Canis lupus familiaris: one gene and its partners. The protein of the gene in region 1 purifies or fractionates together with the protein of each later gene. This does not show direct contact. Links are inferred from orthologs where the notes say so. Each region holds a gene or a part of one and is shown in the gene's direction. Other genes may lie near its edges. The genes, in order: RB1, KDM5A, NPM1, SP1, E2F4, ARID4A and KDM5B.

Region 1 (3,934 bases):
TTATTTACAAACCCTGATCAGTTCTAATAATCAAGATTTGATTATTTGCATTTTGTTCTTTAAATATAATTTAGGCTAAACACTTCACATCAAGTTTCAGACTCAGCTCAGGATAGGAAAAGATAATCCTGTAGGAGCTTAAATGTCCATTTTTTGAAACTAAAAGAAAGAGAACAGTACTTTTTAGAGCACAACTAGGTAACAAAATTCTGATATTTTTGTATTGTATTGATTTACTAGATTATGATGTGTTCCATGTATGGCATATGCAAAGTGAAGAATATAGACCTTAAATTCAAAATCATTGTAACAGCATATAAGGATCTTCCTCATGCTGTTCAGGAGGTAGGTAACCTTTCATGGTAAGATTTTTTGGTTATATCCATATCTATAATATGGATAACATAAGTCATTAATTAGATCATACATTCTGACCTTGTTATATAAATTCACATATCAATTTTTTACCTTTATGTTACTGGTTAATTATTTGTAACTAAAATAGAATTGGAAAGTTAAGGCACTTTAGTATCCACATTCATATTACAAAGTTAATAAGGAATACTATATCCCTGCCACAGATAGGATATTTGTAATAAACTTTTACATGTAATAATATTACATTAAAAAAAATCTGTGACATTTCTCTTCTGGTAAAACAGCTGTATTCCAAACCTGAGAAGGCTTTTTCAGATTATTTTTTCCTATACAGTATGTGATTCCTACTGCTAAAAAATATTATGAATTATTAAAAAAGAAAATCTTTTTTTTTTTTTTTTTTTTTTTATTTTTTTTAATTTTTATTTATTTATGATAGGCACACAGTGAGAGAGAGAGAGGCAGAGACACAGGCAGAGGGAGAAGCAGGCTCCATGCACCGGAAGCCTGACGTGGGATTTGATCCTGGGTCTCCAGGATCGCGCCCTGGGCCAAAGGCAGGCGCTAAACCGCTGCGCCACCCAGGGATCCCTAAAAAAGAAAATCTAAAGAGATAAATTTCCCAATTCACTTAACAGGTATTTTTATTCTTCTTCCTCAGACATTCAAACGTGTTTTGATCAGAGAAGAGGAGTATGATTCCATTATAGTATTCTATAATTCGGTCTTCATGCAGAGACTGAAAACAAATATTTTACAGTATGCTTCTACCAGGGTACGTTGGAAGTATCCTTTGATTGGGAAAAATCTAATTATAAAGTAATGGATCTTACTAAAATATTTTTTTAAAATCTACTTTTTATTTTTGCCTCAGCCCCCTACCTTGTCACCAATACCTCACATTCCTCGAAGCCCTTACAAGTTTTCTAGTTCACCTTTGCGGATTCCTGGAGGGAACATCTACATATCACCCCTGAAGAATCCATATAAAATTTCAGAAGGTGTGCCAACGCCAACAAAAATGACTCCAAGATCAAGGTTTGTGTTTTCTCTTTAGGGAAGATCAAGGGGGGATTATTTTGATCCAAAAACAAAAATATAAAGCTTTCTTCACTTAAAATATTTGCTTATTTAACATTAAATGACATGAAAGGAATTTGGCAAGGAAAGAAAGACAATCTTTTTACTTAAATGGGCTTGCAAATTTAGTCCTCAACTTTCCTGGTTGCTTGGGTCTGTTGTTCTGTGAACAAAGAACAACTTTTGTAATAGTTGTAAAATCACTTTCATATTTTTCTAAGTAGCCAGTCTGCTAAGCAAAGTAGATTAGTTTTGGTTAAGAATTTTTATTCTGTAGTTTTACTGAATGTCCTGTAAACTCTCTGAACCTGTTCATCTTGCTTTGCTATAAAAATGTAGATGACTGATTAAATGTAGATGACTGTAAATTAAGTCTTTAAGAGTCCGTCCTTAATTTTGCCTGCTGCTTCCTTAGATTACCTGGGGCAGGTGTCCTGTCTACTTCGGAAGGGTGCTGTGGATTAGGGAGATGATGAGTATGAAGCTGTTTTAAATTCTTAGATGAAAGGTTTTGTGCAACTACAAATCATTATATTATCTTCCACATCCAACCACAAGCAATTTGTGGCTTTGAAGTGCTTCCATTGACTTATTATATGGTATCATACACTGTTTGAAACTGACTTTATTTGTACAGTGATAGGCAGATTAGCTAGCACAGTTAATGTAGTCTCATTTCCCCAAATTGTCAGCTCATAGAGTTGTACTTAATGGGCAAGAAAAACAAGGAGAAGGAGATATATTAGCCTTTTAGAAAACATTTGTGTGGCGTGTTTAATTATATAGGTAATGCACACTCATGATAAAAATTTGAAATCACAGGAAGAGACAAAGTAGAAAATAATTGGCAAGTGATATAAATCCTCTTGTGCATCCCCATTCCATCCTTTATTTGGTGTTCTTATAGTATCTGTGCATGGTATCTACAACTTACATTGTAAGTTGGTTAAGATGCTATACAATGCATATTTACACAGTCCGCATGAAAATGTGTACTTAGGTAATGATAATTGATCCATACTATGCTTATGATGATGGCTATTTGCTGAACTTAGTGAAATCACTTCTGGGTTGAGATTCTTTAGCGAAAAAGCCACATTCTCAAAATCTTGATAAATCATTGGTCAGGCATTAAGAGAGCATCTTAACACTCTATGTATCCAGCATATTTAGGTATTCTGCTTAATTAAATATGTATATAGAATGATGGCCACGTACCAAGGAATTGGAGTACAATAAAACATCTAGTTCCATGTGCATATGATCCTATCTTTGTTATGTCAGGCTACTGCTTTTTCAGCATTATTATTAAAAACAAATTATAAGGTTCACTCATGGCAACCACAAACTCAAAACTTATGATATATACACAAAAAATAAAGAGAAAGCCGAACATAGCTCTATAGAAACTCATCAATCACACACACAAAAAAAAGGCAAGAGAAAAGAGGAAAGGAACAGAGAAGAACTACAAAAACAACCTGAAAACAAGGAATAAATGGGATTAAGTACCTATCAATAATAATTTTAAATGTAAGTGGCCTAAATGCTCCAGTCAAAAGATAGAGGGTGGTGAAATGGATAAAAATACAAAACCTTTCTATATGCTGCCTACAGGAGACTCACCTTAGATGTAAAGACACAGACTGAAAGTAAAGGATGAAAAAACACCATGCAAGTGGAAGAAAAGAAAAAAAAAGCCGGGGTAGCAACACTTATATCAGACAAAATAGACTTGAAAGGACTGTAACTAGAGACAAAGAAGGGCATTACATAATGATAAAAGGCGCAATCCAACAAGAGGACTTAACACTTGTGAATATCTAGAGCACCTGAATACATAAGGCATATATTAATGGACATAAAGAGACTGGTAGTAATACAATAATAGTCAGGGACCCTAACACCCTACTTATATCAATGATAGATCATTCGGGCGGGAAATCAATAAGGAAACAGTGTCTTTGAATGACACTTTGGAACAGATGGACATAACAGATATATATATATATAGCACATTCAATCCAAAAACAGCAGTATACACATTATTCTCAAGTGCACATGGGACATCTCCAGAAAGGATCATGAGACCACAAAACAAGTTTCAGTAAATTTAAGATTGAAATCATACCATGCATTTTTTTTTTTTTATCACAGCAGTACGAAACTAGAAATAAATCACAAGAAAAAAACTGTAGAAAAGGGGCAGCCTGGGTGGCTCAGTGGTTTAGCACCACCTTCAGCCCTGGGCATGATCCTGGAGACCCGGGATTGAGTCCCAGGTCAGGCTTCCTGCACAGAGCCTGCTTCTCCCTCTGCCTTCTGTCTGTCTGTCTCTCATGAATAAATAAATAAAATCTTAAAAAAAAAAAACCCTGTAAAAAAATATGGAGATTAAATAACCTGATACTAAACAACCAACGGGCCAGCAGAGCAATCAGAAACAAAAAATTCATGGAGAGAAATGAAAGTGAAA
Region 2 (3,934 bases), on another chromosome or scaffold:
TACAGGGTTCATTCCCATGATCCAAAGACCTCAACCCAGGCTAAAACTAAGAGCCAAATGCTAAACTGACTTAGCCACCCAGGCACCCCTAAATGATCCTGTTTTGATGCTAGTGGAAATGATTTATTAGTGAGCCTGCCTAACAAGTCAGTCCTGCCAGATGAATACAACTGGAAAGTATTTTAAAATTGTTGCAAAGCTACCACAGTTTGTTTACTTAAAGATTTTATTTATTTATTCATGAGAGACACAGAAAGAGAGTCAGAGACATAGGCAGAGGGAGAAGCAGACTCCATGCAGGGAGCCTGATGTGGGACTTGATCCCGGGACTTTAGGATCACGCCCTGAGCCTAAGGCAGATGCTTAACTGCTGATCCACCCAGGCGTCCCACTACCACAGTTTAAAAAAGAAAATGGCACGGACAGTGTTCATGTTCATGATAATGAAATTTTGTTTACTTTTATTTCTTTTTTTGAAATGAGTAACCTAAACCTTGTTATAACTGATCATCAGACTTCATCATTCTACTTATACATGAGTTGGAGAGGCCATTTAGAAAGAAATAAAAATTGATTTGTATAGAAGTCACCCTCAGGGAAGGAATTACAAGGGGAGAGGGAAGTAATATATAGTGGATATTTACTTTGCACGTGGCACCAAGTTAGACATTTACATGTATTATCTTAATTCTCAAAACAACAAAATGAGGTTGGTTAGTATACTGTTTTTCAGAAAACTGATATTCAGAAAACTTGTGCCCCAGATCAGCTGTCTATAAGTACAAAAGCCAGGCTTCATACTCAGGTTGCTTGACTCCCAAGGCATATTATCTTTCTGTTCAATCTACAGAAGAGTTCCAACATACTCTACTGATCTACATTGTCAAACATGGTAGCACTTTGCCCATTTCACAGATGAGGAATGTTTGCTCCCAAATTATAGGAAATTATTGACAAATGTTGGGTGGTTGCCTTTTTTTTTAGGATAATACTTTGTCACAATGAGGGCACAATGGGGAGATGATCCCTCAGGTCTGAGGATTTGACATTTTGAAATATTTTGCAGTGACTCCTTTTAATCATTTGTTTTACACAGGTGGCGGTTTTCAAAGAACGGGAACAAAAAGAGATTGAAGCCATGCATTCCCTGAGAGCAGCCAACCTAGCCAAGATGACAATGGTGGACCGCATAGAAGAAGTAAAATTTTGCATTTGCCGCAAGACAGCCAGTGGGTTTATGCTACAGTGTGAGCTCTGCAAAGACTGGTTCCATAACAGCTGTGTTCCCCTTCCTAAATCAGGTTCCCAAAAAAAAGGGTCTAGCTGGCAGGCTAAAGAAGTGAAATTCCTTTGCCCTCTGTGTATGCGGTCTCGAAGGCCAAGGTTAGAGACTATTCTGTCGCTCTTGGTATCCCTTCAGAAGTTGCCAGTACGTTTGCCTGAAGGAGAGGCCCTACAGTGTTTGACAGAACGTGCTATGAGTTGGCAGGATAGAGCACGGCAGGCCCTAGCCACAGATGAACTGTCCTCTGCCTTAGCCAAACTATCTGTATTGAGCCAGCGTATGGTGGAGCAGGCAGCTCGAGAGAAAACTGAAAAGATAATCAGTGCAGAACTCCAGAAAGCAGCTGCTAATCCTGACTTACAGGTAAGTTTAGGGTTTCTTTCTTTTTTTATTTCATGGGATTATGTGTATAAATAGTAAATTAAATATATCTTAACAGCTGATGAGGAAAACAGCAGTAAGTTGCTAGCAGCTATGTTATCCATAACATCTTTTTATATACACCTGTAGGATTTCCTTCAGGTATATACCTACATCATTTTAGTGAACTATTAACTGGAAATATTATTGAGGGAGGGACCTTGGCATTAAAACCACAAATTTGATTTGTGTTAACCATGGAATTCTGTTGGCCACTTTGAAAGTTCATTACATTTTGGTGGTCTTAAATGCATATTAATTACCCATGTTGGAATTGTTTGTTATTTAGGGACACTTACCTAGTTTCCAGCAGTCTGCTTTTAACCGGGTGGTGAGCAGTGTATCTTCTTCTCCTCGACAAACAATGGACTATGATGATGAAGAAACAGATTCTGATGAAGATATCCGGGAGACATATGGCTATGACATGAAGGTAATTAATGGACAGGCATACCTGATCACTGGGCTTGTTAAAAATAGTGAACACTGGTATTGGAAGCCTGAAAGTAGAAGAGAATACTAGTCCGTTTATCTTGGGTTTATCGTAATAGCATTTTTCCAAAGCCCCCCAAAATATAGATGAAACTTTTTTTTAAAGGATGGAATTTTTTTAAAAATCCATATTTTCTTCACCTTGTAACTCCTTATGTCCTAGAGGGCCTAAAAAAATTATGCGTTTAGATTATTGAAAGCTTTCATGGCTTATTTCAGTATTTTGTTTCCTTTGGGCTCTTCAGGTCTGTATAGTTGTATTTTAAGAATCCCATTCTAGCTGTGCTTTGAGTCTTTTGCTCTGATCTCTCTGGATGATGTTGGATATAATGTCCTATTTAGAGATGAGTTATATTTGGGCCCATGGTTCAAATTTGCAGTTACATTTGCAGCTAGAAAAAATTATTTGTCCTCAATGTGATTCCTTTGATAATAACAGTACCCTGGTTTTGGCAAGTTTGTTTTGTATTGGATCCTATTCGCCTTTTATTATTTTGTGTCAGGCCCAAGCCCTTTGTCTTTTTAGCTAGTATAACATCACGATCTAGGCAGGAACTCTGCCAGGTTACAGTTAATCCATTCATCTGTTTTATATTAGTCTTTGAACTGTTTAGAATTTGTGTCTGTAACCAGGGAGTTCATACTCTGATGTGTGGAAAAACGAGAGTGCATTTCTTTCTCCTACTGGTGGTTAACTATCCTTTCTTTGTCGTTTTAGTGTGCAAATCAGATAGGTAAGCTCATTCTTAGAGCATGAACGACATCAGCATTAAAACTTGCAGGATAGTTTAAACCATCTATCATAGATGCTTATAAATTATCTACTGGAAAATATTTTTTCTCAAGATAAAAATGGATCTTGGGAAAGTTTTAATGAGGGAATTTTTAGTTTTATGAATTAAAGACTTGAGCAAAGTTGAAACTTGAATTAGCCAGTTAAGGTAAAGTTCTAAAGGAGCAGCTGAATGGGAATGCAGCCCATGCTACATATAAGTTAACTAATACTAGAATTACTGGTTTACTATAGCTTAGAGATCTTTGATAACTGGGTTCTCTTTCTAGCATACTAATTATCAACCAGTACCCTAGAATTGTTAAACGGGATGGACTTGGTTTGGGAGTGTTTTGGAAACCAATGAAAACAAAACATCACAAGTATTATGGGACTTCAGGGCTAGGGATCAAAACTGTGGTTTGATGTGGTTGTAGAGAGTAGTATTTTTTTAATAAAATTTATATAACAGTATTAGCTAATAATGGGCTTTCCTTTGGTAGGGGGGCACTTTATAGTATGAATTAGGAATTCATACTTTTAGCAATGTATTTGACAGCTTGGAAGAGTGGTAGGTGGCAAGACTTAGAGTGATTCAAGGTCACATTCACCTTGATTGTAGGTTAAAAAAAATTAAATTCCTGCATATTTTTCCATAGAGCAATCACTTACTCCATAATTAAAATTTTTGCTAGTTTAGTTACAATTTGGCGATTTTTTCCTTTGTATAATGTCCCCTGATTGTGACCATGAATTCATCTTTAAAATTCATCTTTGAGGGCAGCCCCGGTGGCATAGCGGTTTAGTGCTGCCTGCAGCCCAGGGCATGATCCTGGAGACCTGGGATCAAGTCCCGCGTCGGGCTCCCTGCATGGAGCCTGCTTCTCTCTCTGCCTGTCTGCCTCTCTCTCTCTGTGTCTCTCATGAATAAATAAATAAAATCTTAAAAAAAAAAAAATTTAAAA
Region 3 (3,934 bases), on another chromosome or scaffold:
TGCACCGATAAGTTTTCTGTTAGTGGTAATAATAGGTTTATAATTGCTTAGTTTTTTCTTAGAAGGCAAATTTTGGGGGGATTGTAAAATAGGAACTTAAAGTATTTTTGTTCACAGGTCAGTTTGGGAGCTGGTGCAAAGGATGAATTGCACATTGTTGAAGCAGAGGCAATGAATTATGAAGGCAGTCCAATTAAAGTCACTCTGGCAACTTTGAAAATGTCTGTACAGCCAACGGTAAGGGCACTGAGACTTTTGGATTTTATGTCAAGGTCTAATTCTATTGTATTAAGGTAGGTGTTGTTTAGGTTACACCAAGGACTTAAAAGGGGGGAATTTCCTTTGTGTTTTTTTAGTAGCAGCTGCATCACTGTGGGGTTGAATGATAACTCTTGAACATATTGGTTCGCTATTTGTCAGAGGTGATAAAACAGGTTTGCTGGTTGGTTCATTTGGTTTATGCATTTGCCTGTAATGCCTGTCTAACACAAACATTTTTCTAGGTCTCTTACAAACAGGTTTTTATACCAAACATTTAACCTTAAAAGTTTATCATTTTTAGGTGTCCCTTGGGGGCTTTGAAATAACACCACCTGTGGTCTTACGGTTGAAGTGTGGTTCCGGTCCTGTGCATATTAGTGGACAGCACTTAGTAGGTATGTTATTAGGTATTATGCTATTTATTCTCTTCTTTGTTCCCAATTTGAATTTTGTAATGTGTGCTAGACCTATTGTCTTTATAATTGTTTAAATGGAGATTATCACTAGAAAAGGTTTTGTTTTGTTTTTTTGAAAACCAAGGAGTCCCGAAAATTCGTTTTTAAAAAATTTCTGTTCCCTAATTGCTATTTTTCTAGTAGAATCTTCATTTTTAAATGCTCATTACTGTATGCTATGCCCTTTTTTTCCTGAGTTCTTGCTTCTTGGTTGAATTCTAGTAGTGGCTAATAAATAAACTTGTTCTAGCTGTAGAGGAAGATGCAGAGTCAGAAGATGAAGAAGAGGAGGATGTGAAACTTCTTAGTATATCTGGAAAGCGTTCTGCCCCTGGAAGTGGTAGCAAGGTTCCACAGGTATAGGTTATCTTATCCTGGCCTTTAGTTTTGGTGATTAAGATCAGCACTTGTTCATGGGTACATATATGTACGTATTTTTATATGAACTTTTTTTTTTTTTTTAAGAAAAAAGTAAAACTTGCTGCTGATGAAGATGATGACGACGACGACGATGACGACGACGATGATGAAGAGTAAGTGTGATCTTAGAAGCTTGACAGTTGTATGGAGAGTAGTTTATGAAAATTATAATCATCTTTGAAATTAAGCAATACTTAAAAAGGGTAAATGGTCATTGGCTGTTACTTTGAATTAAATTAGCTGAATTTAAAAATGCTGGCATTTAAGAGCCTTTAAAATGCTGCAGTGTGGGACAGCTGCGTAGCTCATAAAATCTTTTAAAAAATTTTTAAAATGCAGTGTGTTGCAAATTTTCAAAAGAATATGTGGTGTCGGGATCCCTGGGTGGTGCAGCAGTTTAGCGCCTGCCTTTGGCCCAGGGCGCGATCCTGGAGACCCGGGATCGAATCCCACATCGGGCTCCCGGTGCATGGAGCCTGCTTCTCCTTCTGCCTGTGTCTCTGCCTCTCTCTCTCTCACTGTGTGCCTATCATAAAAAAAAAAAAAAAAAAAAAGAATATGCGGTGTTTCCCAAATGTATTTGACTAGATGAGTTTTTTTCCTGAGGAAGATTTAATAAACACGTGATGACAAGTCTGCTGGTAAGATTTTTTACTAAACAGTATATAAGTGATCTGGGTAGAAAGAATCCGGATGGCTCCAGCGACATTTCATTTTGTAAGTTGTCACTTAATGATTTTTTTTATCCCACAAAGGATTTTGGCTAATAGTTCTTTGGTCCTTACTGATAAAATGAGATTCTGAAAGAAGATTTTCATGAAGGATTTGAGATTTTTTTTGGAAACTATTTGGTGATAGGTTTATTAAACTTGATCAGGCTAAGGTAAAATTAAATGCATACTACACAATAAAGTGCTATTTATTTATTCATGAGAGAGAGAGAGGCAGAGGGGGGAGAAGCAGGCTCCCCGCTGAGTAGAAAACCTGACTGGAGGCTCCATCCCAGTGTCCTGGGATCTTGACCTGAGCAGAAAGCAGATGCTTAACTTACTGAGGCACCCAACTACCCCTTTACTTGTCTTGATATACTGAGTTGTCGGAAAACAAAAAAGCTCTTACAAGTTCCTTTTCAGAAAGAATTCACAAGTACTTTCTCCCGTTCTGTGGGCTGTGTTTTCGCGTGAGTGTGTAATCCTTTGCACAAAAGTTTTTAATCATCCAGTGTCCTATTAGCTTAATTTTTTATGTTTTTAATGATTTATGGAGTCCAGTTTATTTTGATGCTTGTGTGCTTTTGGTGTTAAAATAAGCCATTGCCAAATCTTCTGAAACCTTTATTATATGTCTTATATTTAAATCTTTGATCCATCTTGAATCCATTTTTGTATATGGTATGAAGTTGGGGACAAACCTAAATTCTGTGTGTGGATTTCTAGTTGTCCCAGCACCGTTTATTAGATGTCTTTCGCCATTGGATGACAGTACTGTGTCGTTGAGAATAATTACGATGAATTATGGGTTTGTTTCTGGACTCTTTGGTTTTATTAAGTATCCTTAGATGCTGGTAAAACAGTCTTGATTTCTGTTGCTTTGTCATTTTTGTGGGTTTTTTTTTTTTAAAACACTAAGTGCATCCTCCAATTATGTTACTTTTTCGAGATTGTTTTTGGCTGCTTTTGGGTTCTTTGAATTTTAATACAAATTGTAGGATCGATGTCTACAGAGAACCTAGGACTGTTAGGGGTTGTGATGAATCGTAGATTAATTTGGAGAGTTGCCACCTTAGAATATTTCTCCTGATCTGTGAACATGTGTTTCTATTTAGTTTCTTTAAACTACAACTTCCATTTTTAAGTTTTTTATCCACTTTAGTTGTAAGAAAAATACAATATTATCTTAACCATTTTTGAAGTGTACAGTTGAGTGTTAATTATATTGTTGTTTAATAGATCCTAAAGTCTTTTCATCTATTAATACTGAAAATTTACTTACTGAATGAAAACTCCTTTCCACCATTCTCCAACCCTTGGCTACCACCAATCTCCTTTTGGGTTCTATAGAGGAAAAGATTACTTTTGATGCCTCGTTAAGTGGGATCATACACTATGTCTGTCTTTTCCATGACTATCATGTTTGTTAGTATGTTCTCAAGGTTCATCCATGTGACAGGATTTCCTTTAAAACTGAATATTCTAGGGATACCCAAGTGACTCAGTCTATTGTGTCTGACTCTTGATTTCACCTTAGGTTATGATCCTCAGAGTCCTGAGATAGAGCCCTGTATCAGGCACCTTGCTCAGCGGAGGAAATCTCCTTGGAAGTCTCTCATTCTAAAATCTTTTTTAAAAATTGCAATATTCTAATAACTATCCAAAAATCCTGAATATTTCCTTAAATATATAAATGATAATTTTCTTAGCATTTGTTAGTAGATATTTAGGTTGCTTCCACTTGTGAAGATGAACATGCAAATAGCTCTTTGAGACCCTTGCTTCCAATTCTTTTTGTCAATCCTCAAAAGTTTGAAATTCTTAACATCTTGATTGACTAAACTTGGAGTTTCATCCAATTTTTACACAGGCTTATGAGTGCATTGGATCAGTAATAGTGACTCCTTGTGAGGAAAAATTAGGGACACAAATCATGAGATTTCTAACTCTGGGAAACAGGGTTGTAGAAGAGAAGATGGGTGGGGGGATAGGTGATGGGCACTTGATGGGATGAGCCCTGAGTGTTCTATGTTGGCAAATCGAATTTAAATTAAAAATTTTTTAAAAATAATAAGGACTCATTTCATT
Region 4 (4,362 bases), on another chromosome or scaffold:
CCAGGTCACCAAGTGCCGCACTGAAAATAATTTAGTGACAACACGAAGATACCAGGAGGGGCCGCAGGGAATGACCTCCGTGTCATTGACGACTCACCCAGGCCGCCTCCACCAACACCAGGGGAGGGGGGGGAAGCGAGGTAGAACGGGAGGTGCCAGAAACGCAGGTGTCTGAGGGGAAAGTGTCCTGTGACTTTGGTTACAAAGGCCCGCGCTCTCCTCCTGCCGTCGGACGGGGTGTGTGGGGAAGGAGAGGCAGGAAGTGGCTGACAGGACGCGGACTCTGGGAGGTCCTCCAGGCCCAGCTCTCGAGAAAGTCAGCGCCGCGGAAGGAAGCCGCCGGCCGCCGTCTGCGGGAGAAGTCGGGAAGATGGCGTCCGCCGGAGTCGCACAAAAGCCCTTGCGGACGGTCGGCGCGGGGTTGGCCGGGCGCGCGCGCACCCACAGGGCCGACACCCACACTCCGAGGCGCCCGCCCGCCCGTCCGCCCACCGCGGGGAGGGGGACGCTGGGGGGGCCCCCGAGAGAGCGGCCGGCGGGAGGCAGAGCCGCGCTCCGCCCGTCTCGACCCTGACACTTGTTGCGCAGCACGGCCCCACCGAAGCGCGCCACCTAACCACTGCAAAGACGTCCCCTGAGGAGGGCCAAGATGGCGGCGGCCTCCTCTTGGCACAGCCCTGCTCCCTCCCCCGCGACGGGCGGCTCTGGCGGCGCCCATTGGCCCCCCTGGGGGCGGGGCCTGGCCCCCTTCGCCGCCTCATTGGGCGGACCGACTGAGGGAGACGCCGCTTCTCCTCGGCCCACCCCAAAGTCCCGCCCCCGGAGTGCATTCGGCGTTCAATTGGCTTCTCGTTCACGTCAATTTGCGTCCCCGCTTGTCTTGTCTCAGCGTTGGCCCAATCCTAACTTTCCTGGCTGCCCGCCTGATTTCTGATTGGCTGTGGTCGGCTTCATCCTATCCCATTTCGGCCTGCTTCTTACCCCCTCCCACCGGGGACTTTGCCCAGGCATGTCCGGGCTTCTGGTTGGCCGATGTTCTGTCATTCCAACCTAAGCTCTCCCTATCCCCACCGTTCAGGGAGCCCGCCTGGCGGTTGACTGGCTCCCTCCCAAGCCTGTCATCACTAGCTCCCGCCCACCCCCACTTCCTGCGCCTTTCATTGGGCCTTAAAACTGAGAGGGCGGCCTCCCTGGGCGGACACCAGGCTCGCAACTTTGTCCTACACGCCTTAGAGAGCCAGTGAGCCTTGCCATTGGATGACCCACGCGTCTTTCTTCCGCAAGTCCCGCCTTTCTCCCTCCCTCATTGGGCGGGGCAGCAGCGAAGGGGCGGGGCCTAGGCCGGGCTTGTGGCGCGCTGCTCCCTCCTCCTTACCCCCCCCCTCCCTGTCCGGTCCGGGTTCGCTTGCCTCGTCAGCGTCCGCGTTTTTCCCGGCCCCCCCCAACCCCCCCGGACAGGACCCCCTTGAGCTCGTCCCTCAGCTGCCACCATGAGCGGTAAGGATGAGTCCACTCCACGCTTAGGGGTGGGAGGGGAATGAGGGGGCGCGCGCGAGGGCCGACCGGGCGGTCCCCGCCGTGAGGGGGGGCGGGCGGGAGGCGGCGGCGGCGGCCTTGGTCCCGCCCGGGGCGGAGGGAAGGGAGGGAGAAGGGGCAGTGGCGGGGCCTGCGAGAAAGCGGGGGATGGGCCGCCCGCCCCGGGGGAGGGGGCAGCGTGGCCTCGCCCGCCCCCTGCCCGCCCCGGCCACGGGGGACGGGCCTTACCCCCCACTATTCGGCCGCCCGCCTGAGGCTCCTCCCGCCGGGGGCTGGAGCCGCGGGGGCGGCCCGAGCAGTGCAGGCCCCGCCCGGGCCAACCGCCTCCCCGGTCCGCCCTCTGGTCGCCGCCTGCCCCAAGGCCCTCCCCTCCCCCCGTAGGTTTCCCCTCCCCCCCACCGTCCCGCCCTTTCCACGCCCCTCACCCCGAAACCGCCCTTTCCTTCCAGGGCCCGCCCTCTGTCCGCCCCGAAACCTCCAGATTCGTAACCCCTGGACCCCGTAGCCCCTTAGCCGTATCCACAAATGTTTCCCCACTCACACTTTTTTGTTTTTTCTTTCCCCTTTGCCCCTCTTCTCCTCGTGCTGCTTTTTACCCTTGAGTTTTTCTCTTTCTCTATATTCTTTGACCCTAATTTTAGCAAGCTTTCCATCCACCCACATGTTGTTCTTTGCCTTACCTATCCCTCTCCTTTTTATCCCCAGGATACTTTTTTTTATTTTGAAACTCTTTGAACATGTCCATCGCCCCTCACATTTCCTATACGAAAAGTACATTTTTAATGTTTCCTGGGTGTAATTTTGTGCCAGGGAAGAATTGAGGCCCAGTTTCAGCACTGCTAAGCCAAGTCTGTGTTCTATGTGTCCTACAATTGCCCTTTCCTCAATCCACTTTTTTTTTTTTTTTTTTTTAACGCTGGTGCCTTTCACCTTACTGTTAATTATTTGTTTCATCATAGCGTCCTTTATCCCTCCTAACCTTACCCTTTTCCTTCCTCCAACTCTAAGTTGTTTATCTTTTAATTCTTTTTAGACCAAGATCACTCCATGGATGAAATGACAGCCGTGGTGAAGATTGAAAAAGGAGTTGGTGGCAATAATGGGGGCAACGGTAATGGTGATGGTGCCTTTTCTCAGGCTCGAAGCAGCAGCACAGGCAGTAGCAGCAGTGGAGGAGGAGGAGGGCAGGTAAGTGATAAACCAGGGCAGAGTAGGGGAGATGTCTAGAGAATGTAAATATTCTTAGATTATTGTCTTTTCACAGAAACGTTTTTAGGAAAGCGCTAAACCATTTTGTAGCTAGGGAAGTTAGCACAGAGAGACAAATGATTGGGAGATCTCCAGAGATGAGGATTTCAGCAGTATGGATAGGTCAGCTTTTTGTTTCAGGTTTTTTTTTTTTTTTTTCCCTCTCTTTGGCTGCAGTTTTGCTGTTTATTTGTTTTAAAACTGCCCCCAGGGCTGGCAGCTGGGTGTCTCTGACTCCTATCCTCTCCCTTATTTTCCGGCCAGGAATCCCAGCCATCCCCTCTGGCTCTGCTGGCAGCAACTTGCAGCAGAATTGAGTCACCCAATGAAAACAGCAACAACTCCCAAGGCCCAAGCCAGTCAGGGGGTACAGGTGAGCTTGACCTCACAGCCACACAGCTCTCACAGGGTGCCAATGGCTGGCAGATCATCTCTTCCTCCTCTGGGGCTACCCCTACCTCAAAGGAACAGAGTGGCAGCAGTACCAATGGCAGCAATGGCAGTGAGTCTTCCAAGAATCGTGCGGTCTCTGGTGGGCAGTATGTTGTGGCCGCCACCTCCAATTTACAGAACCAGCAAGTCCTGACAGGATTACCTGGAGTGATGCCTAATATTCAGTATCAAGTAATCCCACAGTTCCAGACCGTTGATGGGCAACAGCTGCAGTTCGCTGCCACTGGGGCCCAAGTGCAGCAGGATGGTTCTGGTCAAATACAGATCATACCAGGTGCAAACCAACAGATCATCACAAATCGAGGAAGTGGAGGCAACATCATTGCTGCTATGCCAAACCTACTCCAGCAGGCTGTCCCCCTCCAAGGCCTGACTAATAACGTACTCTCAGGACAGACTCAGTATGTGACCAATGTACCAGTGGCCCTGAACGGGAATATCACCTTGCTACCTGTCAACAGCGTTTCTGCAGCTACCTTGACTCCTAGCTCTCAGGCAGTCACTATCAGCAGCTCTGGGTCCCAGGAGAGTGGCTCACAGCCCTCCACCTCAGGGACTGCCATCAGTTCTGCCAGTTTGGTATCATCACAAGCCAGTTCCAGCTCCTTTTTCACCAATGCCAATAGCTACTCAACAACTACTACCACCAGCAACATGGGAATTATGAACTTCACCACCAGCGGATCAGCAGGGACCAACTCTCAAGGGCAGACACCCCAGAGGGTCAGTGGGCTACAGGGGTCTGATGCTCTAAACATTCAGCAGAACCAGACATCTGGAGGCTCTCTGCAAGCAAGTCAGCAAAAAGAGGGAGAGCAAAACCAGCAGACACAGCAACAGCAACAAATTCTTATCCAGCCTCAGCTAGTTCAAGGGGGACAGGCTCTCCAGGCCCTCCAAGCAGCACCATTGTCAGGGCAGACCTTTACAACCCAAGCTATCTCCCAGGAAACCCTCCAGAATCTCCAGCTTCAGGCTGTTCCAAACTCCGGCCCCATCATCATCCGGACACCAACAGTGGGGCCCAATGGACAGGTCAGTTGGCAGACTCTTCAGCTGCAGAATCTCCAAGTTCAGAACCCGCAGGCCCAGACAATCACCTTGGCCCCAATGCAGGGTGTCTCC
Region 5 (4,374 bases), on another chromosome or scaffold:
TTCTCTCCAGGCCCTCCTGTAATGCCTGCAGACAACGCTGCCGCCAGTCCCTGGGGGTCAGCTCCAGGGAGGGTGTGTACCCGGCATCGACTTCCGCTATGCGCACAGCAGCCACCAGCAGGGCTGGGTCCTCCCGTGCCAGCTGCCCTGCGGCCCCCGCAGCCACCTCCACAGCCTGGCCAAGAGCCTCAGCCAGAGGGCCCAGCGCCTCAAAGACTGGCAGCTCCAGGCCCCCCAGAGGTGCCCACGTCTCCTCTTGTAGCTGCTCCAGCTCCCGAAGGCACGCATATGCCTCCAAGAGCTGCTGGGCATCAATCAGGGTCCGTGTGTGGGCCACTGCTGCTGGCACTAGGAAGGGAGAAGATGAAACAGCCCTAAGTTTCAAACTTCCCACCTGTGCAATGGGCACAGCCATGGATACTGAGGCCCCTAGGGCTGGAGTGATGTGTAAAATGCATAATAACCAGGACAGCAGAGCACTGACCAATCTGAAAGGACCCAGAGAAGGGCCCAGAGGCCTACTGGGCCAGATATAAATTCTTGAGTTGATGGAGCAAGAGGAAGTCAGGGATCCTGGAGGCAAGGCAGGGAAGAACTCGTGGACCCTTGCTAGTGGCTATTTACCCATCCTATTAAGGAATCATTTCAATAACTTTGCAACCAGGGCGGTCAGAGCCACTTGACTGGGTCTCAGCCCTGAGTCCTACAACGCATGCTTGACAATCCCAGCATGAGCTGATTTGTATCCAGATTCCTCTGCCATCAGAAACCTGAGTCACTCTCTGGGAGGTCCCTGGGGTGTCCCTCCCATCTAAGGGTGACGCCCTTTGGTCAGTAATGGGCATGTACTGACTGACTGTTGAGGGGCTGAGGCCCAGGGCCCCTGCACACTCACCTGCCCACAGCCGGGGCAGCAGCTGAGACAGGACCTGCAGTTGCTTGTGCTGTGCAACCTGTTCCCGCAGCGGTTTTAGGGTCTGTGTGGTCTCTGCCAGATCCTGAAGCAACCCATGGGCCTGGCCAAGGGCCTCACGGGCTGCCTGCAAGGCCTCAGAAGCCTGGGCCAGCTGCCACACACCAATCTTCACGCCCTCCAGGTAGGACTGCACCACCGACTAAGGAGGGAGGCAGCCTGTGAGGCCTGGCCAGGCCGGCAGCCCACCCCCAGCTCTCCTTTCCCTTGACCAATGCCCACCTTGATGCGCGCTTCCAAGGAGCAGGTACGCTGAACCTCACGGCTGCGGTACTGGCTCAGTCTAGCCAGCTGTTCCGGCCGGTAGAAGATGCCCGAGGCCCATTTGAGTGCTGCTCCTCGGGCCAGCTGCTCCGCCCTCTCCTGCTCTGGCCACTCAGGCCCTGGGCAGGAAGAGCCTGGGCAGCCTCGTCAGTTGGGCAAGGCCGATGGGAAGTGGCCCAAACCTGTTCCCCTTCCTACTTCCTAGCCTGTCCCCCTAGGGCAGTCTGACCCATTCCTCTTGCTGCCCTATAGAGCACCGGCCAGACCTGGCAAGGAGGACCCAACCCCACCAATGCCATCTTTTTGGCCACCATCCCTCCCCTAGTCCACCCGGAAGGGCTCCTACCGGGAGGAATTGAGGGCTGCATTTCATCCTTGGTTGCTGAGTCCATGGCAGTCCTTGGAGGAGCTGGAGATGAGGTAGGAGTCGGGGCAAGAGCCTGGGTTAGAGTGGGCAGAATGGGTGCTCCTGTGAGCTGCAGCCTCGGTCTAGGCCCCTCTGAGAAGGAGGAGGGGGTTTCTTGCCCAGCCCCCTCAGGAAACGGGAGGACTGGGTTTCTCAGTTTTGCCCCTGCAGATGCCAAGTGAGGCAGAGCAGACTCAAGCCCCTGCTGGCCCCAGCTCCAGCTCTGAACTGCAGAGGATGGTTTAGTATGGAACTCACCAGGCTTGACCAGGCATCCAGTTCCTTCTCCTTTGAAAACACTCTTTGGCCTTGAGGATGGCCCTCTCCCCCAGTCCTCAGGGCAAAGCAGGGTATTCTCTTCACTGGCTCACGAGGCCTGGGTGGCTCCAGCCTACACCCCAGCATGCAGCAGAATCCTCCCCAAGGAAGCCTCTGTACCACCTCCCCTGCCCAGGAGCACCCTCCTCCTTCGAAGGCCCCTCCTTCCCCAAGGCCAAATGCCCAGAAAGGAAGGAAGCTGAGTCTCTGGCCCTTTATTCCCAACAGGAAAGTGCATCTGCATTGTGGGATGGGGTGGGGAGGGCTGGGCGCCACTTCCTTGGGGGGAGGGGGTGTAGGAGTCCTGCCCAACCCATCCAGGACCTCTTACGTCCTGTGCTCAGGACACAGACTCATGTGAACTAGAAGGCCCTAATTTGGGGTAGAGAGCAGTGTGTGCAAATATGGGTGCAGACAACATCGCAGTAGGAAAACTGTGTTGATGGCTCCTCAGAGGGAGGGTAGGCACCCCTGCAGAGAACTGAGAGGCTGTTGTGAGGAAGGTGTGTGGTGGGTGATGGTAAGAGAGGGGTAGGAGGGCTCTGAAAGCTGTGTTTGTCTTGAGAGTTACAGGGGGCCATGGAGAGGACCACCAGGTAGTAATAATATAGTGGATGCTGGTTACCACCCAAATCCACCCTGCGGGACCACGCCACTTCTTCCCCTAGCTGTCCGGAACGTAGGTTGCTAAGATGTCACAGCTGAGTCTCTCACTCAAAGTCAGGGCACAAAGGCCTGATAACCTTGTCTGGACATGGACCACCTTGGAAGGGCCCCACCTCGGTTTCAGGGCTCCTAACAGGATGGCCTGAGACCTCTATTGTAACTGCATCACAGTTTAATTCACCTTTCTCCTCAATTTTGCGTGTCTTACTCCCTTACAGATGTGGATCCTCAATAAACTTCCCTGCAGACAGATTCCTGTCTCAAAGTCGGCTTCCCAGAGATCCTGACCTAAAGTAAATGATAATAAATATTGATGGTATCAAACATAACAAAACGGTACTAGCCACACCTAACCCTTTCTACCTGCCAGGAACTGCTCTAAGTGCTTTACTGACATGTGCGCATAGGTAAGCATGTTTGCATTGGTGGGAAGATGGTTACAATTCCATGGTCTCTGGGTACTGCAGGGTGGGGACGAGAGAAAGATGAGGCTGGGATCAGGGAAGGGGAATGGGAGTGGACACAAGTGGGCCCGCTGTACCCAATGCTGGCTGTTTGGCAGGAACTGAAGGACAGCAATGGGGTCAGTTAAACCAAGACACTGGGACAGCTTCCAGGAGCAGGTTGGGGGAAACACATTGCGGTCATCAAGCAGCGTGGTCTCCTCTTCCGCAAAGGGGACAGGCTGGGTATGCCTGGAAGGTTCTAGCGGCTTTCCCTTCTCTACTGCCGGGGCTGCCCCCCTGACTTCCTCCACCTGCCCCTGGACCCTGTCCCCTCTCCCGGGATCCCCGGATTGTCTTCGTCCTCTTCGGCGGTTGGACATTTGCTGATGGTCCCCGAAGTTTTGCTGCCGTGTCCGCAGAGAGGAATTGCGCCGGGTTCCCTGGGAGGGCGCGGAGCGGAAGCGGAAACAGCGGCGCTGGCGCCGGCGGCCGGGTGGCCAGGAACGGAAGCGGAAGTGGCGGCGGCGCCGGCCTGGCCTGGCCTGGCTGAGGGGAGGCGGCGGGCGGGAGCGATGGCGGAGGCCGGGCCGCAGGCGCCGCCGCCCCCGGGCACCCCAAGCCGGCACGAGAAGAGCTTGGGACTTCTCACCACCAAGTTCGTGTCGCTTCTGCAGGAGGCCAAGGACGGCGTGCTTGACCTCAAGCTGGTGCGGCCTGGGCTAAGGGGCGCCCGGGAGGATGGTGGACCAGGCAGGCCCGGACCGGTAGTGGGAACCCCTGGGGCGGCCCCGCTGAGCCCTCGGAGGGCAAAGCGCCATCCGTGTGCTTTCTCACAGGCGGGAGGCCAGGAGCGGTTTCATTCATTCAGCCGGGGCCATTGGGCGTCCGCTCTGTGCCAGGCTCTGGGCTGCAGGCGGTGGTCCTCGTGGCCCTCCTCGGCTGGTGTGGGGACATCAGTTCAGACGGTGCCGGGCCTCCTCTGCCCCGCGGTCCCGAGCTGCTGCAGTGCCTGGGAGGGGGATTGGGACTCGGGCCACCCCTTTTCCAGAACCCTTCCAGACTAGGTCTCAAGGTAGCTGGGGGAACACCTGAGAGTGGGCCTGAGTATCCTGCACTCTGTTCTGTCTGCCAGGCAGCTGACACCCTTGCTGTGCGCCAGAAGCGGCGGATTTACGACATTACCAACGTCCTGGAAGGTATCGGGCTGATCGAGAAAAAATCCAAGAATAGCATCCAGTGGAAGTGAGTGGGGGCACCCGGGAGAGCAATGGCGTCTCCCACCCAGAAGTGGCAGGGGTGTG
Region 6 (3,024 bases), on another chromosome or scaffold:
TCAAACTCATAACCTCAAGGGTTGCACCCTCTCCTTCCAGCTGAGCCATCGCAAGCCACCCTGTGAACATTTTCTTCTAATCACTTCCATTCTGATTCCATCATGATTCTGATACCTGACCTAGATAACTGCTGTTGCTTATGGGATGCTGTGTCCATTAGGTCTACTGGGGCAGGAAAAGGGTAGGAAGCTAGTGGATAGCTGGTTATAGGAAATTTTCTGGGATGAGTGAATTCTCTTATAGTCCTAGAACCCAGAGACAAGGATGGAATTTGCTATAGTGAGAATTTAAGCCAGGTTTACCTTGTTTTGGTTTTGGGGTAAGGTGAGTTCCTTCCAGGGATCGTTCAAGTTAGGGTTTAAGAGTTTATCATCTCTTTATATCTTTACATTTTAAGATGCCTTTTTTGAACTGAGTTATTTAACTGATGAGAGACTGATTCCAGTCAATTGAGCCAAACAATTTTTGCTGACAATGTTATTCCTAAATTTAGGCACCATTTAAGAGGATTGCAATTGAAATGAATAATAAGAAATTTATTTCTAATTTGCCAGTGGCTAGGTATCTTTGATAGTTTTTGGGTCTAATGTAGTTGTTTTGATTCTACAGTGTCTCATGCAGGAGCCTCCATGTCATCTGCTTCGTCAGACACTGGGATGAGTCCCTCATCATCATCTCCCCCACAAAATGTACTTGCTGTAGAATGCAGGTGATAAACGTTTTTCTCTGCCTTCCCAGCAGTTTGCTGCCATGGACATAAATCCTAAAACCCTGAAATACAACCACAGAAAGCACTCAACTGGTTTGACATTGCTAAGTATATCCTGTATACCTTTCCAGGCTGGACTGTATCTATTCCCCCCTCTTTTCTTTTTTTCTGTTGCAAAAAGTAAGCTGATTAATAATTGAAGGTTAGGCAGCCTGCCATATTTGTCTATAATTTTTCCTCTTTAATTTGTTTTCATTTTTTGTGAAGATAGAAAAAGGGCACTTAGCAAATCTGAATTTGTATAATAAAGCTTTCAACTGTTATAGAAATCATAGACAAGCAAGTGCACATGAAAAACATCAAAATATTATCCAGCTGAATAGTGACTGCTGCACTTTCACTAAGATGTATTTGAACACTTGGTGAGTAGGGGGTTTATGTTGTGGGTTTTTTTTTTTATTGTTGTTGTTGTTTTTTATTTTTGTGGAAGCACTTGCTATTTAGAACTGCCAAAGTATATGTTCAGCAGTGTGCCCAGGCTTAAAGGTGTAAATGGGACAAAATAAATTGTGAAAGGAAGTGTAGTTGACTGAAAACTACAGTTGTAATAAGTCTTCCACTTTTTATAGGATTTTTGAGCACACAATTATGCAAATATTTTAATGTTTATTAATGTTTACAGTGGAATTGTGAATAAGTTTTCAGTGGACTATCTTATCCCTTGACAAAAATATTTTGTCTTTTTTCTATGTAATTTCAGAGTTTTTATTTTGTTACAAAAAGACAAAAATGAAATATATAACAACAATGAAGTTATTTAACAAGATTTCTAAAGCTGAAAATTTTGTGTAAAATAAGGTATTATCTTGCAACTTGTTAAATATATTTATTCAGACATTGGATGTTGTATTTTTATGTATTTTTTAAAATATTAATAAAATTGAAAAAAAGAAAATTCTAGGTTAATTCACTCTTTGGATGACAATAGCTCTCAGCTGTCCCTTTTACAGGAGGTTGCATCCAGTAGCTTTGCCTGTGTTGAAGGGAGTCTGTCTCAGTCCTTCAAACAGTATAGAACTATAAATGGGCATCTGGATCATTAAAGTATGTCCTCGTTTAGAAACTTTGGCAGTCCTAGTATTTAAACTGTTTTGAGGATCAAATTTTTGGTTGCCCTTAAGATACTTTGTCATAGTTTTTTGTTTGCTATACTGCCGAATAAATTTCTATCTCCCAAAGTTGAGATGCAACAACTAAGTAAAGCAACTATGTATGCTGTGTCTGTGAATTGTTCCACAGACTGATACGTTTTGTAAATAAGTCCAAAATCATGTATTTAAAGCATTTTTGCCATATACATTATGTAAAAAGGTGATTTTTTAAAATCAGTTTTTAAATTCATGTTTGTACATTGAAAGGGGTTTTTTTTAAACCTCCTTTTCTGTGTTTAATATGCTGTAGAGTAATAACCTAGATGCTCTAGACTGTATATCAGGATCTGATTTACAAGAGCAAAGTCAGAGCCAAACACTAGTGATGGCATAGCATTACTGAAATCATTGTTTCTTAATTTCATTTTACCACATTGTGAACTTGTGATTCAGATTCCTTCCATTTTCGCAGAGAATTAAAAAGAAAAAAGTACTCTTGTAAAATGCACTTTTCTGTCTTTTCTTTGCAAAGCAGAAGTATTTCAATGTAAAATAAAAATGGAGCTCAGTGGGCAGTATTAAGTATTAATAAAGGCCATGTTTTAAACATAGGCTTTATATTTTTAGTTTTCATTTAAGTGATTGTTTTTTTCCCAAGTGCCAGTAACTTACAGTTGGAAAATTAGACTTTGCAAAACAAGCATATTCATCAGTCTTTACAATAAAATATTTCTAGTTCTTAATTATAAAAATGAAAAAAGCGTGTCATTCAAATCCATTTGGAACTAGGAGGCAACCTTAGATTCATATGATCGATATTTTAATGATTTGCTTCATTAGCAATTCAGTAAATGAGATGGTAACTAATTATCAACTTGAATCCATCCCTTCTAATCAATATAAATCTTGTAGTGAAGTATTGGGACCTTTCTACAGAGGGCAAAATTATACTCAATGGGTATATGGACACTTAAAATCCTTTTATTTTTGGAGACAGAATTACAAAAGTGAATACTGACTATTCAAATATTAGGCATATTTTGAATTTAGCAAAATTTTGGATAGTACTTACATGTGACTAAAAAAGTAAAAGTATAAAGACACTCTTCAATATTTAAAGTAGAAGGTCCTATCCATAAAATCAGGTTCTTTGAAGATTATGG
Region 7 (3,934 bases), on another chromosome or scaffold:
CCTCATAGTTTGGAATACTACTCCATCTTGTGGCCGAATAGAGTATCTCTATGATCATTCTACCATAATTCTTTTTGTTGGCTCACTTGTAATTAGAAGAAAGCTTCTCTTTCTGGAATATCATCTGATAGTCTGTGTCCAGATTGTCTTTCACGAATGTCACTAAAAATCCCCAATTTTTGTCTCTCTAGGTTTACAGAACTAATCAGTGTGCTGGGGAGTTTGTGATTACATTTCCAAGAGCCTACCACAGTGGTTTTAATCAAGGTTTTAATTTTGCTGAGGCTGTTAACTTCTGCACTGTCGATTGGGTATGTAATTATGACTTAGCCTTTTTGAATATATTGTTTTCCTACTGAAGTGTAGTATATGATACTTGAGAAGCTTTCATGTGTGTGGTTGCTTAAACCTGTTGCTCCTCAAATGGCTGGTCTACAAATTGATTACCATCCACAGTGGGGTAAAGCACTTGGCACCACATATCAAGCCTGTACTGACTAAGCACACTGCTCAGTTTAGCTGATAAGTTTTTCTTTTGTAAAAGTGAGACTTGATGAATAAATGAGTCTGTTGATTTACATTTTGGGAAAATTCAGTATCTCATTGCAAACTTGTAACAAAAAGTTCATTCAGTCTTAAGCCTATGTAACACTAGTTTAAATTTAATGTATAATACAGCAATTTTTAATGATGCATTTGGTTTTAGTTGTAAGGTGGAATTTTTATATTGGTATTAATACTTTTCTTTTACATAAAAAGATCTAGTTCAAGTGTGTGATGTTAAATTTAATGAATTATAACCTTGTTTCAGTGCTTTACTGAGTAATAGTACTACCTGTACCTGAAATTATTTTCCATTAAATAGTTTAGAGCATCGTTAATTCCCTGAAGCAGGTTTAAGTCAGCATTGTTATTTCAGGAAATGTGTAAATTCTCATGTCCAGTTAGATTGTACACTGAACATTGACACGTTGTTAATACATTGGGTTTTTTAAAAATGTCTTTATTAATCTCTATACCCAAAGTGGGGCTGGAACTCATGACCCTGAGATTGAGTTGCATGCTCTTTTGACTGAGCCAGCCAGGCACCATCATACATTGGGTTTTTTAAACTACTTTTTAATTAGATACCTGACATGCCAGAGCTTTGAGATGCAAAGGCTAGAAAAGGGCCAAGGCCTCTTAGAGTCTGGCTATAGGGTTGATAAATGTATTATGACCCAGAATATGCTCTTTGGTAATGTGATAATGATCAGAAGTCTTTGGAAATAAAAAGGAGAAAGAAAGATAAATGTCATGTATTATCCTCTGTCTTTTGAAACAGCTGCCATTAGGCCGACAGTGTGTGGAGCATTATCGCTTGCTTCATCGCTATTGTGTATTTTCCCACGATGAGATGATTTGCAAGATGGCTTCCAAGGCTGATGTACTAGATGTCGTAGTGGCTTCAACTGTTCAGAAAGATATGGCCATTATGATTGAGGATGAGAAAGCTTTAAGAGAAACTGTTCGTAAATTGGTAAGATTTCTGGAATCCCAATTGGTGTGTCTCTGGATATTACTTAGTAAAATTCTTAAATTAATCTCATTTTAAGAAGTCTTTTCTTAGGCTAATTTCCTTTAAGACCCATTTTGGAGATGCCTAGTGGCTCAGTGGTTGAGCGTCTGCCTTCGGCTCAAGGCGTGACCCCGGGGTCTGGGGATGGAGTCCCACATCGGGCTCCTTGCGAGGAGCCTGCTGCTTCTCCCTCTGCCTGTGTCTCTGCCTCTCTTTGTGTCTCTCTTGAATAAATATATAATATATTTGAAAAAGAAAAAGACCCATTCTGATAGATGTGTATTAATATCTCATTTTGGTTTTCATTTTCTCTAATGGCCACTGATTTACTGAACATCCTATCATGTATGTACTTATTTACTACTTGTGTATGTATCTCTTCAGTGAAGCGTCTGTTCATATATTTTGTTGCCCACCTCCTTTTTTTATTGGATTGTTGTGAGATTTCCATTCATTCTCTATGCCAGTCCTTTATCAAATGAGTGTTCTGCAAGTATTTTCTTTCAGTCAGTTGCTTATCTTTTTTTTTCTCAGAGCAGTGTCTTTCTAATTGATAGTTCAATTAAGCAGTTGTTTCTTTTATGCATTTTTTTTTTTTAAGATTTTATTCATGAGAGAGAGAGAGGCAGAGACAGGCAGAGGGAGGAGAAGCAGGCTCCATGCAAGGAGCCCTATGTGGGACTGGATCCTGGGACTCCAGGATCACGCCCTGGGCTGAAGGCAGGCTCAATCACTGAGCCCCCCAGGCGTCCCATCTTTTATGCATCTTTTTAGAGATTTTTTTATTTTAGAGAGGAAAGAGATTGGGGGAGGGACAGAGAGAGGGAGAGGATCTCAGGCAGACTCTCTGCTGAGGTGTGGCTCAATCTTCTGATCCTAGGATCATGACAGGAGCCAACCTGAGCCAAAACCAAGAGTTGGATGCTGTTAAGCCACCCAGGTGCCCCTGCATCTTTTTTATGTACCTAAGAAATCTTACCTAACCCAAAGTCACAAAGACCTTTTGTTTATTCATCTAGAATTTTTTAGTTTTAGGTTTTACATGTAAATCTTTAATCCATCTCAAGTAATTTTTATTTATGGTGCAATGTGTGGGTTGAGATTATTCTTTTTTTGCATAAGGATGTCTCATTGTGGGACGGACCCCTGGGTGGCTCAGTGGCTGAGCATCTGCCTTCATCTCAGGGCGTGACCCCGGGGTCCTGGGATCGAGTCCCGCATCAGACTCCTTGCATGGAACTTGCTTCTCCCCCTGCCTATGTCTCTGAAAAAATAAATAAAATATTAAAAAAAAAAAAAGATGTCTCATTGTTTTAGCACCATTTCTTGAGAAGACCATTCTTTTTCCTTTAAAATGCCTTGGCACTTTGGTGTTGAAAATCAATTCACCGCATATAAATGGGTCTATTGCTAAACTCTGTTTTATTCTCTTAACTTATGCATTTATTCTCTTGCTGTTGCTATATGATCTTGATTACTATACCTTTGTAATAAGGCTTGAAATGAGATAGTGTGTGTTCTCCAATTCATTTACTTTAAAAATTGGTTTGGCTATTTTAGTTCCTTTGCTTTCCATATAAATTTGAGAATTGGCTTACTGATTTCTACCAAAAGCCCTGTTAGGATTTCACAGGGACTCCATTAAATCCATGAATATAATTGGGAGAATTGGTATCTTAACAATGTTGACTCTTCCAATTCATGGACATCATATATCTACCATTTATTTAAGTCTTCTTGAGTTCTTTCATTTTTTTGTGGATTGCAGCATATGGATCTTAACACATATTTTCTTGGGTTTATAGTTAAATATTTTGTTTTTTGGTACTATTATAAATGATACCTTAAAATTTTTTATTTCAAATGGTTATTGCTAGTATTTATAAATATAATTGACTTCTGTATATTGACTTTTTATGTCCTGCAACCTTGCTAAACTCAGTAGTTCTGTTAGCTTTTTTTGTGCTGTTTTGGGACAGTGGTATCTGCAAAAAGAGTCACATTGGATTTTTTTCTTTTTTTTTTTTTTAGTGTGACTTTTTTAGATATAACTCTTGAATGTTGGCTCTCTGAAGCCTTTTATGGACCAACAGCAAGCTTATTCACTTTCTCCTTATATTTTATAGTTAGGGAAAACAATGCCCAGAGGGTACGGTTTAGGTGTCTTAACATGGCCTTATATCAATAATGGTAACTCATTTGTGGAACTTTGAGTAAATTTTTTTCCAAATGTGGAAATTGAGAAATTCAAGTTGAGTGAGATGTATATGATTCATTCTCAACTAAGAACCATAAAATTGGTCTTTAATCTTAGTTTAAAGTAAAATTACAACCATTTTTATCTCGAAGTCCTTTTTAATGATCAGTTCCAGTTTA

Evidence for each region.
Region 2: the proteins of RB1 (region 1) and KDM5A purify together in Homo sapiens (affinity purification with western blotting; 4 studies listed by BioGRID and IntAct, with this or other methods). This does not show direct contact. The link is inferred for Canis lupus familiaris from reciprocal best matches to the Homo sapiens genes RB1 and KDM5A.
Region 3: the proteins of RB1 (region 1) and NPM1 purify together in Homo sapiens (affinity purification with western blotting; 3 studies listed by BioGRID and IntAct, with this or other methods). This does not show direct contact. The link is inferred for Canis lupus familiaris from reciprocal best matches to the Homo sapiens genes RB1 and NPM1.
Region 4: the proteins of RB1 (region 1) and SP1 purify together in Homo sapiens (affinity purification with western blotting; 3 studies listed by BioGRID). This does not show direct contact. The link is inferred for Canis lupus familiaris from reciprocal best matches to the Homo sapiens genes RB1 and SP1.
Region 5: the proteins of RB1 (region 1) and E2F4 purify together in Homo sapiens (affinity purification with western blotting; 10 studies listed by BioGRID and IntAct, with this or other methods). This does not show direct contact. The link is inferred for Canis lupus familiaris from reciprocal best matches to the Homo sapiens genes RB1 and E2F4.
Region 6: the proteins of RB1 (region 1) and ARID4A purify together in Homo sapiens (affinity purification with western blotting; 3 studies listed by BioGRID). This does not show direct contact. The link is inferred for Canis lupus familiaris from reciprocal best matches to the Homo sapiens genes RB1 and ARID4A.
Region 7: the proteins of RB1 (region 1) and KDM5B purify together in Homo sapiens (affinity purification with western blotting; 3 studies listed by BioGRID). This does not show direct contact. The link is inferred for Canis lupus familiaris from reciprocal best matches to the Homo sapiens genes RB1 and KDM5B.

What each region holds. Positions count from the first base shown.
Region 1 is NC_049243.1:3,038,014-3,041,947, reverse strand, and holds part of RB1 (retinoblastoma-associated protein), read left to right. Parts: intron 1-240; coding exon 241-345; intron 346-1,039; coding exon 1,040-1,153; intron 1,154-1,252; coding exon 1,253-1,416; intron 1,417-3,934. UniProt on the Homo sapiens protein: Tumor suppressor that is a key regulator of the G1/S transition of the cell cycle. The hypophosphorylated form binds transcription regulators of the E2F family, preventing transcription of E2F-responsive genes.
Region 2 is NC_049248.1:3,659,827-3,663,760, forward strand, and holds part of KDM5A (lysine-specific demethylase 5A), read left to right. Parts: intron 1-1,096; coding exon 1,097-1,648; intron 1,649-1,994; coding exon 1,995-2,138; exon of another isoform or gene 2,139-2,205; intron 2,206-3,934. UniProt on the Homo sapiens protein: Histone demethylase that specifically demethylates 'Lys-4' of histone H3, thereby playing a central role in histone code. Does not demethylate histone H3 'Lys-9', H3 'Lys-27', H3 'Lys-36', H3 'Lys-79' or H4 'Lys-20'.
Region 3 is NC_049225.1:41,656,563-41,660,496, reverse strand, and holds part of NPM1 (nucleophosmin), read left to right. Parts: intron 1-117; coding exon 118-237; intron 238-562; coding exon 563-656; intron 657-966; coding exon 967-1,073; intron 1,074-1,181; coding exon 1,182-1,249; intron 1,250-3,934. UniProt on the Homo sapiens protein: Involved in diverse cellular processes such as ribosome biogenesis, centrosome duplication, protein chaperoning, histone assembly, cell proliferation, and regulation of tumor suppressors p53/TP53 and ARF.
Region 4 is NC_049248.1:44,804,278-44,808,639, forward strand, and holds the start of SP1 (transcription factor Sp1), read left to right. Parts: upstream 1-1,385; 5' UTR 1,386-1,490; coding exon 1,491-1,497; intron 1,498-1,976; exon of another isoform or gene 1,977-2,384; intron 2,385-2,569; coding exon 2,570-2,724; intron 2,725-3,048; coding exon 3,049-4,362. UniProt on the Homo sapiens protein: Transcription factor that can activate or repress transcription in response to physiological and pathological stimuli.
Region 5 is NC_049226.1:82,760,677-82,765,050, reverse strand, and holds the start of E2F4 (transcription factor E2F4), read left to right. Parts: upstream 1-1,432; 5' UTR 1,433-1,583; coding exon of another isoform or gene 1,584-1,677; intron 1,678-1,901; coding exon of another isoform or gene 1,902-2,048; exon of another isoform or gene 2,049-2,174; intron 2,175-2,845; 5' UTR 2,846-3,034; intron 3,035-3,143; exon of another isoform or gene 3,144-3,189; 5' UTR 3,190-3,459; coding exon 3,460-3,780; intron 3,781-4,205; coding exon 4,206-4,315; intron 4,316-4,374. Other genes in the region: EXOC3L1 (exocyst complex component 3-like protein), read right to left, coding at 1-348, 896-1,115, 1,196-1,371, 1,584-1,677, 1,902-2,048. UniProt on the Homo sapiens protein: Transcription activator that binds DNA cooperatively with DP proteins through the E2 recognition site, 5'-TTTC[CG]CGC-3' found in the promoter region of a number of genes whose products are involved in cell cycle regulation or in DNA replication.
Region 6 is NC_049229.1:34,023,826-34,026,849, forward strand, and holds the end of ARID4A (AT-rich interactive domain-containing protein 4A), read left to right. Parts: intron 1-610; coding exon 611-714; 3' UTR 715-2,473; downstream 2,474-3,024.
Region 7 is NC_049228.1:516,584-520,517, forward strand, and holds part of KDM5B (lysine-specific demethylase 5B), read left to right. Parts: intron 1-191; coding exon 192-311; intron 312-1,324; coding exon 1,325-1,519; intron 1,520-3,934. UniProt on the Homo sapiens protein: Histone demethylase that demethylates 'Lys-4' of histone H3, thereby playing a central role in histone code. Does not demethylate histone H3 'Lys-9' or H3 'Lys-27'. Demethylates trimethylated, dimethylated and monomethylated H3 'Lys-4'.